4 linked regions of the Macaca mulatta genome follow. The protein of the gene in region 3 interacts with the protein of the main gene of each other region in a biochemical or structural test. Links are inferred from orthologs where the notes say so. Each region holds a gene or a part of one and is shown on either strand. Other genes may lie near its edges.

Evidence for each region. The genes of interacting proteins can lie anywhere in the genome.
Region 1: the proteins of DCAF1 (region 3) and NF2 form a complex in vitro, tested with the Homo sapiens proteins (3 studies listed by BioGRID, with this or other methods). The link is inferred for Macaca mulatta from reciprocal best matches to the Homo sapiens genes DCAF1 and NF2.
Region 2: of the proteins of DCAF1 (region 3) and UNG, one has a biochemical effect on the other in vitro, tested with the Homo sapiens proteins (2 studies listed by BioGRID, with this or other methods). The link is inferred for Macaca mulatta from reciprocal best matches to the Homo sapiens genes DCAF1 and UNG.
Region 4: of the proteins of DCAF1 (region 3) and PPP2R1A, one has a biochemical effect on the other in vitro, tested with the Homo sapiens proteins (2 studies listed by BioGRID, with this or other methods). The link is inferred for Macaca mulatta from reciprocal best matches to the Homo sapiens genes DCAF1 and PPP2R1A.

What each region holds. Positions count from the first base shown.
Region 1 is NC_133415.1:21,951,967-21,956,302, forward strand, and holds the start of NF2 (merlin), read right to left. Parts: upstream 2,811-4,336; 5' UTR 2,444-2,810; coding exon 2,330-2,443; intron 1-2,329. UniProt on the Homo sapiens protein: Probable regulator of the Hippo/SWH (Sav/Wts/Hpo) signaling pathway, a signaling pathway that plays a pivotal role in tumor suppression by restricting proliferation and promoting apoptosis.
Region 2 is NC_133416.1:116,230,270-116,234,372, reverse strand, and holds the start of UNG (uracil-DNA glycosylase), read right to left. Parts: upstream 2,811-4,103; 5' UTR 2,719-2,810; coding exon 2,587-2,718; intron 2,266-2,586; exon of another isoform or gene 2,078-2,265; coding exon of another isoform or gene 1,973-2,077; coding exon 1,766-1,972; intron 890-1,765; coding exon 794-889; intron 1-793. UniProt on the Homo sapiens protein: Uracil-DNA glycosylase that hydrolyzes the N-glycosidic bond between uracil and deoxyribose in single- and double-stranded DNA (ssDNA and dsDNA) to release a free uracil residue and form an abasic (apurinic/apyrimidinic; AP) site.
Region 3 is NC_133407.1:114,967,518-114,971,629, forward strand, and holds the start of DCAF1 (DDB1- and CUL4-associated factor 1), read right to left. Parts: upstream 2,814-4,112; 5' UTR 2,673-2,813; intron 257-2,672; 5' UTR 210-256; intron 1-209. UniProt on the Homo sapiens protein: Acts both as a substrate recognition component of E3 ubiquitin-protein ligase complexes and as an atypical serine/threonine-protein kinase, playing key roles in various processes such as cell cycle, telomerase regulation and histone modification.
Region 4 is NC_133424.1:64,384,419-64,388,647, forward strand, and holds the start of PPP2R1A (serine/threonine-protein phosphatase 2A 65 kDa regulatory subunit A alpha isoform), read left to right. Parts: upstream 1-1,419; 5' UTR 1,420-1,494; coding exon 1,495-1,572; intron 1,573-1,584; exon of another isoform or gene 1,585-3,685; intron 3,686-4,229. UniProt on the Homo sapiens protein: The PR65 subunit of protein phosphatase 2A serves as a scaffolding molecule to coordinate the assembly of the catalytic subunit and a variable regulatory B subunit.

The DNA.
Region 1 (4,336 bases), on a different chromosome or scaffold from region 3:
AAGCTTCTGAGAGATACCCGCACTCTAGAAACTGAGCACTTGGTGGAAGGAGGCAGGGGACCGCAACAACCTGAGGCTCAGCCTGCTAGAACTGGTGGATGAGCAATTGGGGCGCCAGTAGTTTCAGTATGCCATGCCCAAGGTACAATCCTGTTCCACAAGTAGGGACTAGGTGGAAGAAGGGAGCTCCAACTTTAGCCAAGCACGGTGGCTCACGCCTGTAATCCCAACACTTTGGGAGGCCGAGGCAGGCAGATCACCTGAGGTCAGGAGTTCAAGACCAGCCTGACCAACATGGAGAAACCCATCTCTACTAAAAACACAAAATCAGCCAGACGTGGTGGGGCAAGCCTACAATCCCAGCTACTCGGGAGGCTAAGGTGGGAGAATCGCTTGAACCTGGGAGGCGGAGGTTGCGGTGAGGCGAGATCGTACCATTGCACTCCAGCCTGGGCAACAAGAGCAAAACTCCGTCTCAAAAGAAAAAAAAAAGGGAGCTCCAACTTTCAATTGCACTCACACAGGTTTTAACCTCAGCAACAAGTAGCTCTGGGTATGATAAGAAATGCTGATGTCCAGCTTTTCCTGGGAAGAAAGCATTTGATTTGGGAGCTGAGGGAGCGGTGCCCCGTGTTTCAGTTTGCAATAGTCTGGAGTAGAAGCTCTACCTCACTAAGCTAGGAGTGGGTAAGGAGGGAATGATCTTGGTTCAAATACCATATCCTCTCATCTTTCTTACCGAATTTGTAGATTTTCTTGAATAGGTGTTTCATTTGTTGTTTGCCCTCAGGACCATTGCCGGAGGGTTTAAATAGTTGATTTTAAAAAAAGAATTTTTGGGCCAGACATGGTGGCTCCGTCTGTAATCCCATCACTTTGGGAGTCCAAGGCCAGCAGATTGCTTTAGGTCAGGAGTTCAAGATCAGCCTAGGCAACATGGCAAAATCCTTGTCTCTACAAAAATTAGCTAGGTGAGGCTGGGCGCGGTGGCTCACACCTATAATAGCACCACTTTCCCACCACTTTGGGAGGCCCAGGTGGGCTGGTCATGAGGTCAGGAGTTCGAGATCAGCCTGCCCAATATGTTGAAACCCTGTCTCTACTAAAAATAGAAAAATTAGCCAGACGTGATGGCACATGCCTGTAATCCCAGCTACCTGGAAGGCTGAAGCAAGAGAACTGCTTGAACCTGGGAGGTGGAGTTGGCAGTGAGCCGAGATCGCGCCATTGCACTCCAGCCCGGTGCACTCTGGGTGACAGAGCGAGACGTCTCAAAAAAAATAAAAAAAATTAGCCAGGTGTGGTGCACACACCTGTGGTCCCAGTTACTCAGGAGGCCAAGGCAGGAGGACTGATTGAGCCACAGAGGTCGGTGGGGGTTGCAGTGAGCCATGATCACACTACTGCATGCCAGCCTGGGTGGCAGAGTGAGACTCTGTCTCAAAATGAAACAAAACAAAAAAGAATTTTCACCAGTTTTACAGAGGAATGGGTTCCTTAAGCTGTCAAGCTGGAAGCTGATATTATCTAAGGCTGCTTTTGTGTTACAATGACAGAGCTGAAGAGCTGAATAGCTCCAACAGAGATTCTCTAGTCTACAAAGTTGAAAATATTTACTATGTGGTCCTGTACAGAAAAAGCTTGCCAACTCTTGGTTACTGCTGCCAATGCTGCTGGTCCACAAACCACACCTTTAGTAGCAAGAACTTAAATTACTTGAGAAGCAGTACTGTACTGGCTGTGAGCTTAGTTCAAAACCCCACCTTGCCATTTACTAGATAAATGGGTTTGTTCTGAGGATTAAATGTGCAAATGTCTGGCACTTTGAAAATACTGAACAATTGATAGCTGTTAATCATCATGTTGGAAACTATGTGGAAAGTAAGTATGAGATATTATATCGTTCTTCAAAGGGTTTTTTTCCAGAATATGTAGGCTTTAGAAAAGGAAAACAAGTATTGGCTTTCCAATAAACAAGACGCAACTTCTAATACCTGGGTACATAACAATATTACCTAATGAAAGAATAAACTTTCAAGCGTTTAAGCGTAAGCCTAACTTAAGCCTGACACTGAAATCCGGAATTTTCTATCACAGGAGCATCCAGCTTCTTCCAATAACAATGAATGAAAATAACCTTCAGGAAATGCTAAAACCCAAAAGCCCTATGAAAAAAAGCAGCAATCATCTTTAACATGAGGTTTTGGGCCTAGTTGGCCCCTTCCGGTTCTGCCCGTCTCTAGCTACACCCATTAAGATGATATAAAGAGAACCTCTCGAGTTTCCACCTCGACTGTCACCGCAGCAGTCGGGGCTGCCGGCCGGTTACCTCGCAATTGAACTCCATCTCGGCGTCCATGGTGACGATCCGCACGGTGAACGTCTTGGGTTGCTTCCTCTTAAGAGAGCTGAAGCTCATGCGGGAAGCGATGGCCCCAGCCATGGCTCGGGGCTCAGGCCCGGGACCCTCGCGCCCCAAGGCCTGCACTCTGAGCCCTTTAGCCCCCCTGGAGTTGCTGCACAGGCCTCAGGGCCACCATGGTGGCCGGCTGGCCGGCCCGGGAACGGTCTGGGCTGCGCGGGTCCCCAGCGGCCAGCATGGGCCGCGAGGACCCTGCCCGGGCGGAAAGGGGAGTTGAGGGGCGGGCCCTGACGGCTCCTGGGAGGGCACGGGAGCCGGGACCGTCGGTGCAGGCGCGACCTGGCACTCCGGGATTCAGGCCGGAGATGCCGGGGACGCCTCGGGACGGGAACCCTAGTCGGCAGCGGCCCAGATTCTGCGCGCCTCTCAGCTGCCGACTAGGGTCGCGGGGCCGCGCTGCAGTCGGGCGCGTATGCGCGCGCGTGGCTGTCACCGTCCTCACTCCGCGCGCCCGCGGGAAGCGTACCCTCCCCGCAGTCCGGGGCCTGCTCCCGGCCCCGCCCTCAGGTCTCCCAGACCACTACGCACAGCGCAACCGAACCGGAGGCTACCGCCTGGGTTCTGCGACCTGGATGCTGCGATTGGCTGGGAAGACCAAGGTAGGCAGGACTTTCCCCCTCCGTCCCGCCTCCTTCAGGGTGACTCCACCAATGGAAAGTTTCACTCTAACCGCAAAAAAGCAGGCCTGGGCTCGGCGTTGAGTGGCTACAGTGGCAGTCACTCCGAACGCTTTTGTGCCACTCTAACAAGACTGGTTGAGGCGGCGGACCTCCGCTATCCTTTCCTAGGAAACCACGTAGAGGCTGGGTGCCGGGCGCGGGAATTGGGTCCCTCGTTGGCCCAGGGAGGGACTCTTTGGGTTCAAGTAGGCTCCGAGTGTGGCGCCCCAGGGGATCGCGTTTCGGACACCCGGCGAATATTCTTGTTTGACAGTTAATCACATATAGCGACCCCTAAGCTTCTCAAACTTTCAAGACTCTTGTGGAGGCCTGTTAGATTTGCTGGCACTTTTCCGCCAGATCCCTCTGCTTCCCTTTAGAATCATTATGTTTTGGGGGGGAGTGGTGGGGGACGGAGTTTCGTTGTTGTTGCCCAGGCTGGAGTGCAATGGCGCGATCTCGGCTCACTGCAACCTCCGCCTCCCGGGTTTTCCTGCGCCAGCCTCCCGAGTAGCTGGGATAACAGGCATGCGCCACCACGCCCGGCTAATTTTGTATTTTTAGTAGAGACGGGGTTTCTCCATGTTCGTCAGGTTGGTCTCGAACTACCCACCTCAGGTGATCCGCCCGCCTCGGCCTCCCGAAGTGCTGGGATTACAGGCGTGAGCCACCACGCCCCGCCTAGAATTAATATTAATGGTTATACCTACCTCGTGAGGTTGTTGAATTTCAGCGCACTGAATACATACAAGGCTTTAGAATGGAGCCTGGCATCCTATGAAATTGCTGAATTTGGGTGGAAAATGAAAGCATTCTTCATTTTATACTCTACGATGCCCATTTTTGAACCATATTCGTGTATTATTTATTTAGTGTCATCAAGGGTTATAACGGGTGTAGGGGGATAATTATACCTTACTGTACTTAGATAAATTCTATTTTAAAATAGCTCTTAGTAGTCAAATAGAGACAATTTACTGTGTTTTTTCTTTTGTTTTTCGTTTTGAGACAGTTTTGCTCTTGTTGCCCAGGCTGGAGTGCAATGGGGCTGTCTCGGCTCACTGCAACCTCCGCCTCCCAGGTCCAAGCGATTATCCTGCCTCAACCTCCCCAGTAGCTGGGATTACAGGCGCCCCCCACCACCACCACGCCCGGCTAATTTTTGTATTTTTAGTAGGAACGGGGTTTTACCATGTTGGCCAGGCTGGTCTCGAACTTCGACCTCAGGTGATCTGCCCACCTTGGCCTCCCAAAG
Region 2 (4,103 bases), on a different chromosome or scaffold from region 3:
TTGTTTTTTGAGACAGGGTCTGCCTCTGTCCCCTAGGCTGGAGTGCAGTGGTATGATCTCGGCTCACTGCAACCTCCGCCTTCTGGGCTCACGCGATTCTCCCACCTCAGCCTCCCAAGTAGCTGGGATTACAGGCATGCGCCACCATGCCTGGCTAATTTTGGTATTTTAGGAGACACCAGGTTTCATTGGCCAGGCTGGTCTTGAACTCCTGACCTCAAATGATCCTCCCACTTTGGCCTCCCAAAGTGCTGGGATTACAGGCATGAGCCACTGTGCCCAGCCCCACGGACTTTTGAACATGAGATGGACAAGAGCTGCCAACCAGCAACTGTTATATAAGACAAACTAAAGCAAAGGGATCTGTTAACAGAACCACAAAACTATTCAGGCCAGAAAATCAAGAGCTTGAAAGTGCTAACTATAAGGCAGTGTGGTCAGGTCAAGGTGGGGTTGACTATAACAAGCTGCAAAAGATTTAACTGCTTTGTGTGTCAGTCTGAACTTCATCACCACCATAGTATCTAACACTGAGGGAGGTTAGTTTCAGGATTTAAAAAAAATACAAGAAATAAGAGCACAGGATGTACATAGTTCTCCTTTTTGCCGCATAAATAGCATGTGGTAAACATTAAAAAGAGTAAATACAGGCTGAAACACAGTCAGCCAAACCTCACAATTTCAGTGTTTTATTTACTACTGAATGATGGACTGTGGCTTAACTCCAGTGTCCCTAATTTAAAAATACTAGTTGACTCCTTCTCCCCAATAAAAATCATCAAGTTGTACTTACATCTCTTATGTCACACATCTGGGTCCAGGTGAAGACTTGGTGTGAGGGTGGATAAACAGTGTAATGCTTTCTTTCTTCTGCAACAAATCCCATTAGCTGATTTAAAGATAAACTAGACTTAAAATCAGATTCTCACTGGAGGCCATAAGAATTAAACAAGAAAGCTTCTAGTGCAAGTTATTTGGAACATCATTAGTTCTTTGTCGTGTTTTATGTCCAAATTCTTTTAAAAAAACAACCAACAAGGCCGGGCGCGGTGGCTCAAGCCTGTAATCCCAGCACTTTGCGAGGCCGAGACGAGCGGATCACGAGGTCAGGAGATCAAGACCATCCGGGCTAACACGGTGAAACCCCATCTCTACTAAAAATACAAAAAATTAGCCGGGCGAGGTGGCGGGCGCCTGTAGTCCCAGCTACTCGGGAGGCTGAGGCAGGAGAATGGCGTAAACCCGGGAGGCGGAGCTTGCAGTGAGCTGAGATCAGGCCACTGTACTCCAGCCTGGGTGACAGAGCGAGACTCCGTCTCAAAAATAAAAAAACAAAAAAAAACCATCACCAACAAAAACAGTGCCTGCCTGCCCCCCGCTCCCCCAAGTGGTTCAATCAGGCCAATTCCCTGCCTTTTTTTCTGGGCTGGGTCCTAACAGTGCCACTCCTCCCGGCTTTTTAAAGTTCAAGCCAGGTTTCATTCAGGATGGTTGGTGGTTTTACTATGCCAGCCTTTCCTGGACAATAGACTATGTGACTTAAATGAATCCATGATACCATCTCACGGGTCGTTAGCAACTTTAACCAATATAAAGGTGCAGACTGAAACATCATGGCTTTCTTTTACCCCCTTTGTGAGTAAAGGACGTTGAAGGGAGTACAACCTAAGCCTATGGAAACATGAACTTCGCCGGCCGCAGTAACAAGACAAAGGGCCGGAAGCCTCCACATTTACCCTTATGGAAGATGCATTTCCATATTTACCTTGATAAAATACGGTTTTCCGAACTCCCCGCTGAGGTGCTTCTTCCAGCTCTCCCCAAAGCCCACGGGCACGTTGCGGGCCGCAAGTCTGAGCAGGGCCGCGGCCTTGTTCCTCTGGATCCGGTCCAACTGCTCAGCACTCAGCGGCGAGGAGGGCGGCGTCCCGGGCTCCTCCTGCGCGGCCGGGGCCTTCTTGGGGGGGTTGGCCTGCAAGGGGTCCCCGCAGAGGCGGCTCAAGAGCTGCAGAGGCCGCTTCCCAGGAGTCCGCAGCTTCTGGCCCAACCCCCACGGCCCAAGGCAGAAGACGCCCATTAGTGGAGCAGGTCGCAGCAAAATCGGACAATAGGAGCCCAGGACTGGGCCCAGTCCGGGAATTGGGAATTAGATTCTAAACCGGAGCGGGGAGTGGGGCTGGGAAGCGGCCCCGCGGAGCATCAAGGAGACTGCGGACCCAGTACCGAGGTGCCCCGCCCCGCCAGACCCGCCCCCCACAGCCCCACGTGGCCTTTTCGCGGCAAAAAAACTCCCTCTGGGGTCCCGCCCCCTCTCCCCTCTGACTGGACAGCGCACCGAGCCAGGCGGGCCTGCGGCGCGCGGATTGGCACCATGGGCGCCGAGGCGCGTCCCCATTGGCTGATCCCTCAGCATGGCGGCCCATGGGGGACAGCGGCGGCTGTTTTGAACACGTGGAGGCTATTTGGAAAGCGGGGCCCCGGTTTACCGAGTTAAGAGGCGCGCTGCTGCACGCCCTCAGTCAGGCGGGACCCACCGCCTTCCTCCCTCTTTACCCCCCCAAGTCCCGGCCCCACGCCGCGCCTCACCGCCGCATCTCTGTTCTCCTCAGGCACGGCCGCCACGCCAGTCCCCAGGACGGCCGGCTCGGGGCTGGGGGCGCGTCGCTTCCTGGCGGGGCTAGGGGAGAAGAAGGAGTAGAGCGTCTTCTGGCCGATCATCCCGGAGCCGAGGCAGCGAACGCGCACCACCCGGGAACCTGCGAGGCTGGCCCTGGCTGTGGCGGTCAGCAATTGGCGCCAAGCGGCCCGCGCATGCTCCGAGCGGGGGGCTTTGCTGGGGGCGGGGGGCGGGGGGCGGTGGAAGGCCCAGTGCGCATGTGCGGGAGGGGCTGGAGTGCAATGCCCCTGGGAGGAGGTGGGGCGTGCAACGGTGCCCGCGGGCCTATTCATTCATGCCCTCGACCCACCTCTGCCCTTTGGAAAGGCTCTCCAGGCTCAGCTGCAAGACGAAAAGACTGGCCGGCCGCGGTGGCCCACGCCTGTAATCCTAGCGCTTTGGGAGGCTCAGGCGGGAGGATCGCTTGAGGCCAGAAGGTTGGAGCTGTAGTGAGCTTTGATCGCGCCATTGCACTCCAGCCTGGGCGACAGAGCGAGACCCTGTCTCTGGGGATAGGAGGGAAAAAAAGTACCTGGCCCTTAAGGGTGTTGTTGGAGTGCAATGAACAATATAATAGTATTGTCCGGGCTTGACGGCTCACGTCTGTAATCCCAGCACTGTAATCCGAGGCGTCTCAAAAACAGAAACAAACAAATACTATTATATTTTTTGTGTGTGTTTTGTTTTTGAGACAGTCTCGCTCTGTCACCCAGGCTGGAGTGCAGTGGTGTGATCTTGGCTGACTGCAACCTCTGCCTCCCCAATTCAAGTGATTCTCGTGCCTCAGCCTCCCCAGTAGCTGAGATTACAGGCGCACGCCGGCTGAGTTTTGTATTTTTTAGTAGAGACAGGGTTTCACCATGTTGGCCAGTCTGGTCTCAAACTCCTGACCTCAGATGATCTGCCCACCTCGGCCTCCCGAAGTGCTGGGATTACAGGCGTGAGCCACGATGCCCTGCCAATAGTATTTGTTGAACTGTTACATACATTATCTCACGCAATTTTCATGGCCTATTTTATGACAATAAACTAAGGCTTAGCACAAACATTTTGCCTAATGTATCAGGCTTGTGGGAGACTTTCGAGTCACAGAGGTTAAACCCCAATGATTTGTCCTCCAAATGACACCACTGTACAGCACCTCCTCCCCACCACTACTAATATGCTTAGGATTCTCTTTCCTTCCCTTACATCCAAACCATCCATATCTCCTTTTGGTTCTTTCTCCAAAGAAAATCTCAAATTCAACTGCTGCTCTTGCATTTCCTGGCTACAGAAGACCAGATGGGAAGCTGGTGTTCTCTTTTCTAGAGAGAGATTTTTACATCATGACAATACTCTGGGCCTGGCCCAGCTCGGTGGCTCACGCCTGTAATCCCAGCACTTTGGGAAGCCTACAGGGGCTTATTGCTTGAGCACAGGAGTTTGAGACCAGCCTGGCAAACAT
Region 3 (4,112 bases):
TGGTGACACGATAGTTACCAATTAGTGAATATCTAGTATGGAACAGACATTGAGTAAGTAATTTACTATACTTACATTATTCTGAATTTTCACAACCATCCTACCCTTTTTTACACATGAGGAAACAAGCTCCGAGAGGTCCCCAAGACCAGCTAGTACTAGGTAGAAAAAGTATTTCAAGGATTCAAATCCCAATTCTGCTGACATACCTGTGAAGTCTTGGTTATTTAACTTCTCCAAATCTCAATTTCCTTATCTGTAAGATGGAAACAGTTGTTGTGCGGGGTTAAATGACAATATTGTCCCCATGGTGGGATAATACAAAGCCTCAAGAAATACTTATGTAAAATTTCCTTATCCTAACAAGTGTCTGCTAGCGTAGTCCACAAAATAAATATATAGATACCACACACAAAAACAGAAAAAATATGGCATAATATTAACAATTGTTTGCCGGGCACAATGGCTCATGCCTGTAATCCTAGCACTTTGGGAGACTGAAGTGGGTGGATTACTTGAGGCCAAAGTTCAAGACCAGACTGGCCAAAATGGCAAATCCGCATCTCTACTAAAAATAAAAAAATTAGCCAGGCGTGGTAGCACACACCTGTAATCCCTAGCTACTCCAGAGGCTGAGGCATGAGAATCACTTGAACCCGGGAGGCGGAGGTTGCAGTGAGCGGAGATCATGCCACTGCACTCCAGCCTGGGCAACAGGGCAAGACTCCGTCTCAAAAAAAAAAAAAAAATTAAAAACTTGCCAGGCACAGTGGCTCAAGCCTGTAATCCCAACACTTTGGGAGGCCAAGTCGGGAGGATTACTTGAGGTCAGTTGGGCAACATTTCGAGACACAGTCTACACAAAAATTTAAAAATTACCCAATCATGGTAGACTGTGCCTGCAGTCCTAGTTACTCAGGAGGCTGAGGCAGCAGGCTCCTTTGAGTCCAGGAGTTAGAGGCTGCAATGAGTTATGATCACACTCGAGACCATCCTGGCTAACACACTGAAACCCTGTCTCTACAAAAAATTAGCCGGGCGTGATGTCAGGCGTCTGTAATCTCAGCTACTCAGGAGACTGAGGCAGGAGAATGGCGTGAACCTAGGAGGCGGAGCTTGCAGTGAGCCGAGATCGCATCACTGCACTCCAGCCTGGGTGACAGAGCGAGACTCTGTCTCAAAAAAAAAAAAAAAAGGGTTATGATCACACCACTGCACTCCAGCCTAGGCTACAGAGCAAGATCCTGTATCTAAAAAAAAAACAGTCCAGGTGTAGTGGCTCGTGCCTGTAATTCCAACACTTTGGGAGGTTGACAAGGGAGGATCACTTGAGTTCCAGACCAGCCTGGGCAACACAGTAAGACTACTGTCTCTACAAAAAATAAATGAATAAAAATAAAAAATTTAAAAACTGTATAATAGGCAGAACAGTAAAACACTGTACTCAGCAACTACCCAAGAGGTACTGAGCAAAAAATGATTTCCCTACATTCCCCAAATTCTCTATTATCTCAACATCCAAAAATATATACCTACTCAAAAATGGGTAATGAATAACTGCTATATAGAAAACCCAAATGTTCACATCATTAAGAAAAATACTAAATCGATTCCTAAAGTCTACATTTACACACATAAACATTAAAGGTAAACTCCAGTAAGCTGGAAAAAGAAAATGAAGGATATTACCAATTAACCTCTCATTCTGTACATTAACAATGCATTTTGAACAGGAAGATGCTACTAACATAAAAAATTAAAACGTGTAAAGACTAATTAAAAGGCTTCATCGAAAAAACAGGGTAAGGAAAAACTGAGACCAACATGACGTGGCCAAGGACAAGTCATTTCTGACTCAAAAATAACTAATACAAACACTCCAAAACTATTTCCTCAACAAATGGAAAACCAGAGCGCTGCCACTGCAGTAAGAGGAAGCCAGACAGAAAACCGTCTAGGAAGTGAAGTTGTGAAGCAAACGCTTCTGAAACCCCAGTTGAAAACTACTATAACCCCCGGAAACAGACTCCCGGGAAGTTTGGCGGGCACTCTGAGGTTTGACTCCAGGCTGCGGGACCCGCACACCTCTTTCCAACCCTTCCCTTCTTCATGGGGATGAGAGGAGTGACCAGAAAGCTCCGCCCCCGTCGCAAGGTCCAAGAGCCGGGCGGGTGCAGGGAGAGGTGGCACGAGGCCGAGAGACTGGAGAGCCCGCCCAGGTGACTGGAGCTGGAGGCGGAGACACAGTCCGTGAAGGGGCCCGCCGTATAGTACGGAAGATGGAGCCCCCCCAAGCCCGTACGGAACAGAGACTAGAAAGATTGGAAGGGAAAAGATGACAAGGGATATGACATGCGCCCCTCCCTCCAGGTAGGGGCTGACACACCCCGCCCCCCCACTCCGGGCGGAAGAGTTACTCTCGGGAAGCTTCTCGTGGGGAGTGGAGGAAGAACGTGGAGGCCCCGCCCCCGGGACAAGAATCAGGAGGAGGAAAAGTCCTGTCAGGCCCCGGGCCCAGCCTCCCGGCTGACCGGCCCGCCCCCTCCTCGCCGGCGGCCCAAGCAGGTGCCGCCCCTCCCCCAGCCCGGCGCCCACTCTGCCGCCCGGCCAGCCACGCGCCCTGCCTCCTCGCGCCCCTCCCGTAGAGTCGCCTCCCTCCATTTCCCACTCACCGTCCGAGGCGGCTCCGCCACTGCCCCCCCGCGACCCCGCCAGTGGCCACAGTTCACACACACAGCCTCAGGTCCCGCACTCACTCTTCACTCACATACACACACAGCGCGACCACGGCTCCACAGCGGCCCACATATTATGCGTCACTCGCGCGCTACGTGCACCGCGCGCGCGGGCGCGCGCGCCTACTTGGCGCGAGGACAGTGAGCAAGGGGCGGGAGGAGAACGCCTGCACGATCCGAGGAAAATCGAAGAGCCCCGGGGACGCCTGGGAAATGAAGTTCCGCGTCTAGGGGCGGGCCCACCAGTCCCAATTGACGCATGAGCTCTTCGCCCCGCGCATTGACTTCTGGATTTGTAGTTTTTTTGGATAAATGCGAACTGCTGAGTACTCATTGGCTGCTTCGGAAAGCGGAAGTGAAAAGTGAGGGAGTCAATCCTTCCAAGACAGTACTATAATCGCCTGATGCTTTAGTGTCTTGTTCTGACCTGTGTGCGCAAAGAGCCTCTGTTTTATTCGGCTATTTGCCTCATCTTACCTAGAACATACCGTGATCTAAGAAAATATTTTCTCATAAACATATCAGAAATCACAGCACTCATTAAAACAGAAGGCACTAGTTGTTTTTTATGTGTTTGTTTTGAGACAGAGCCTCGCTCTGTTGCCCAGGCTGGAGTGCAGTGACGATCTCAGCTCACTGCGACCTCCGCCTCCCGGGCTCAAACAGTCCTCCCACCTCAGCCTCCAGCTGAGACTACAGGTGCATGCCACGACACCCAGTTAATTTTTGTTTTTGTTTTGTGTGTGTGTATTTGGTAGAGACATGGTTTCACCATATTGGCCAGTCTGGTCTCGAACTCCTGGGCTGAAGCGGTCCACCCACCGGGGCCTCCCAGCCTCTTTGTTCTCCGTCTTTTTTTTTTGAGACAGAGCCTCGCTCTGTCACCCACGCTGGGGTGCAATGGCGCAATCACAGCTCACTACAGCCTCAACCTCCTGGGCTCGAGCTGTCTTCCCACTTCAGTCTCCCAAGTAGCTGGGACTACGGGTGTGCACCACCACACCCAGCTAATTTTTTAAAATTTTTGTAGAGACGGAGTCCCACTGTGTTGTCCAGGTTGGTCTTGAATTTCTAGGCTCAAGTGATTCTCCTGCCTCAGTCCCTCAAAGTGTTGGGATTACAGGTATGAGCCACTGCGCCCAGCCTCTCTTTTTGTTCAAGACCTAGCCTGTAGGAATCAATAGATACTTATTGCCAGGTATTATACGTGAGGCAGAGAAGTGAAAAATCAAAAGCTCATAGATTGAGGCAGGACTGACCTCACAGGTCACTTAATTCAATTTCTTCATGTTATTGGGAAAAATGAGGCCCAGAGGGAGTGAGTGACTTGCCCAGCATCACACAACCAATTAGCAGAACCAGAAGACTCCTTACTCC
Region 4 (4,229 bases), on a different chromosome or scaffold from region 3:
TGCATTCTAGCCTGGGCGACAGAGCGAGCCTCCGTCTCAAAAAAAAAAAAAAAAAAAAAAAAGAAGAAGAAGAAGGAGAAAAGAAAGAAAGAAAAAGAAAGAAGGAAAGAAAAAATAGATGCTGTGGGTATTCAGAGCTGCCAGAGTGCTAGCTCAGCCCAGCACTTCAAGTAGTAGAATAAAGGAAGAGAGAGCATCCCAGGCCTTACCATCCCCATCCAACTCCCTCAGAGTGGTCCTAAGATTGCGGTGGGGGTGGGGCTTTGTTGAAGAGGTTAAAAACAGAGATTAGTCAGATCCAATCCTGCTCCCACTCTATGGAGGAAACAGATTCGAATGCATAGTCACAGCCCAGGCTCTGGGATTGAGACACATAGATGGGATTGGAGAGACAGAGAGAGAGGTTCTGGTGGCTCTGGAAGCCTAGAGAACAAGAGCATTTACGCAGAGATCTGAGAAGTGAATAAGAAAGGCAGAACGTACAGCTTGGGCAAGGAGGCTTGCTGGCACGAAAACGCAAGATGTGCTCAGGCAGCTCTGATTTTCCAGGACATCAGACAAAAGGTAAAAAACGGAGGCGGGAGACGCGCCTAGACAAGGTATTGAATACCGGCCCGAGGAACTTGGGTTTCATCCAAAGAGCAAGGCAACTGAGCTCAACACAGTGACTCCGTCTCCACAAAAATTCTTTAAAAAACTGGCCGGGCCTAGCGGCGCGAGCCTATAATCCCAGCTATTTCTGCAGACTGAGGCCTGAGGATCGTTTGAGCCCGGGGAGGTCCAGGCGGCAGTGAGCCAAGATCGCGCCACTGCACTCCAGCATGGGGAACAGAGCGAGACCCTGTCTTTAAAAAGGCAAAAAAAAAAAGAAAGAAAAAGAAAAAGAGAGACAGCAGGGCAAGCCGCTCCCTTCTCTGGGCCTTGGCATAAATCAAACACAAATAAAAGTCTCACTCCCTCCTCCGGCCGCGCAAAGGCGCGGGGAGCCAGCCTGCCAGCCAGCGGAACCATGGCCTGGTAACCCAAAACCTGCACACCCTCCCGCTCCCCACATGACGTCACGTATTACCACTTACGCACGCGCAGAAACCATCCCCGGGACCCACCAAAGGTCAGGCTTAGCGTCCTCCCCATATCGCCCCTCATTGGCTAGAAACAACTGCTCGTCCCGGTCGTTGTTAGCAGCGACGAAGGCGGGTTCAATCTTGGTCGCTAGGACACGGCTGACTTCCGCTTTTCTTCCCCCTCCCCTAGGCTCAAACTAGTCAAATCTCGTTCACTCGACCAATGGCAAATGGGAAGTGGGCGGGACTTCACTAGTCCGGACCAAAGAAACGCGGGTTTAGGCCGGCGTAGCGCGGCCAATGGCCGTGGAGCAGCCCCTGTAAACTGGTTCGGGCGCCCCCACGCGTGCTTTTCCTCCTCCTCCCAGCTCTGCCCCCCCGTTTCAGCAGAGCGCTGGCCGCAGTCTGACAGGAACGGGACAGAGCCAAGATGGCGGCGGCCGACGGCGACGACTCGCTGTACCCCATCGCTGTGCTCATAGACGAACTCCGCAACGAGGACGTTCAGGTACGGAGGCTACGGGGGACTTGGGGAAGACGGGGAGGGGTACCTGGGGGCATGGGCAGCCCTCGCGGAGAAGACTCAGCGTTCGCTGGGAGTGGCGGAAGGGGCGGCGGCCAATCAACGTGCGTCTCTTATCTCCCCGGGTGCCCGGACTCATTGAGACGGCGCCCTCGATTGGGTGTTGGCCCAGTGAAGGGCGGGGGCCTGCGCTAGCCTCGAGGGTCCCGGGCCTGCTCAGTGCGCGCGGCGGTCCGCGGTCCGCGATCCGCGGTCCTGGGAGGTTGCGGCCAGGGCTGGGGTCGGCGGACTGGGTCCGGGAGAGAGGAGGGCTCCGTGATTGGCGGCGGCCTCTGAATGGCCCCTTGGAGATGTGGGGCGCTCGTGACTTGCTCCGAGTGGGGGAGAGCCGCCTGATGGGTCAGGACCTGGGAAGGTTTTTTTCTTTTCTGGGTTTCGACTGCTGGCCCAAGTGGGGACCGAGAGGCGAAGGCCTGCCATCCCAATTCCTGCTCTTTCTCCACGTCTCATTTTGGTTTAGGTGTCCTGAGAGGACGGGGACGCAAAAACACCCCCCCCCCCACCAAAGGTGGGGACTAGCCAAATTGAAGAACGAATTACGTTGTAGAAACCCGCTTCCCCATCTCCCCAGATCCTCCCATTGATCAGGATAGGGGGTGAAGGATTTGCTAAGTGGATGAACATTTCATTCTTTCTTTCTTTGAGACAGCCCCTGTGTCGCCCAGGCTGGGGTGCAGTGGCGCGATCTTGGCTCAGTGCAACCTCTGCGTCCCGGGTTCAAACGATCCTCGCATCTCAGCCCCCTAAGTAGCTCAGATTACCGGCGCGAGCCACCATGCCCATCTAATTTTTGTGTTTTTAGTAGAGACGGGTTTCGCCATGTTGGCCAGGCTTGGTCTGGAACTCCTGACCTCAAGCGATCCACCCGCCTCGGCCTCCCAAAGTGTTGGAATTACAGGCGTGAGCCACGGCGCCCAGCCCGGATGAACATTCCTGGTTATGGGATGCGGTGGCCCAAGGCTCTGAGCAGGGCTGCCACCCGCTGTGTGACCTTGTGCAAATTACTTCACCGCTTTGGGCCTCCGTGTTCCATAAAATATGGGCTAATTGTAGTCCTGGTCTTGCTGGAGGGACTTGTGAGGGACTGAACGAATTATGGCACAAATAAAAAGTCGAATGGTGTCAGACCTGTTGTAAGGGCCTGATACATATTAACTGTGATTATTGGGAGTGGTGATTAAAGAGGTCCTATCCTCCCTTTAGGTCTCAGTTTTCGCATTTATAAAATTGAACAAGGTGCACTGGGTAACCTGCCAAACGTGGGTCCCGCCTCCTAGGTTCCTGGTATATCACTGTTTCTGGGGGCAGACCGGCTGTGGTTGTATTCCTGGCCCTTCCACTTCTCACTGATTGACATGCGCAAGTTAGTTAATCTCTCTAAGCCTATTTCCTCTTCTCTTTTATGGGGATAATTACCTAGTTCGTAGGGCAGTTGTATGAATTCTTTTGTTCAGTAAACACGTGCCATGTATCAGGTATGATGCTGGGGATATAGTGGAGACACCAGTTGCTATACAGGATTCAGGTGTGAAACAGGTCAACAGAGTGTGTGAAAAGTGATGGGAAGGAAACAAACAGGATGTTGTGGCAGTGAATCCATATTGAATTGGCCTTCTATTCTGTGCAGGTCACTGTTATAAGCACTGGCATGCAGTAGGGGAGTTTACTTTGCAGTGAGGAGAGATAATAAACAGAGTATACTGGAGATAAGCAGTAGGGAGATAAATAAAAATAAGAGAGATGGGGGATGCAGGGGTTTTTTTTGTTTGTTTTTGAGACGGAGTTTCACTCTTGTTGCCCAGGCTGGAGTGCAGTGGCGTGATCTTGTCTCACTGCAACCTCTGCCTCCCGGGTTCAAACGATTCTCCTGCCTCGGCCTCCCAAGTAGCTGGGATTACAGGCATGTGCCACCACTCCCAACTAATTTTGTATTTTTAGTAGAGATGGGGTTTCTCCGTGTTGGTCAGGCTGGTCTCAAATTCCCGACCTCAGGTAATCCACCCACCTTGACCTCCCAAAGTGCTGGGATTACAGGCATGTAATCCCACTGTGCCCGGCCTGGGGGATGCAGTTTTAAAGTGTGGTGAGGGGAGGCCTTGTTGAGATCAAGTTTGAGAACACACCTAAAGGCAGAGGGCACAGCAAGTACAAAGTGGGGTGGGGCAGATCCATTTTAAGTAGGCCAATCAGGCAAGGCCCCTCTGAGGATGCAGAATTTAAGAAGAGATGGAAAGAAGGTGGGAAAGAGCTGCCCAGGAAGAGGGAACAGATATGGCCATAGTTTTTTGTTGTTGTTGTTTTGTTTTGTTTTTTGAGATGGAGTCTCACTCTGTTGCCCAGGCTGGAGTGCACTGACGTGATCTCGGCTCACTGCAACCTCTGTCTCCCGGGTTCAAGCAATTCTCCCACCTCAGTCTCCTGAGTAGCTGGGACTACAGGCCCAGGCCACCACCCCTGGCTAATTTTTGGGTGTGTGTTTTTAGAAGAGACTGGGTTTCCCCGTGTTGGCCAGGCTGGTCTCAGACTCCTGATCTCAGGTGATCCTCCTGCCTCAGCCTCCCACAGTGCTGGAATTACAGGTG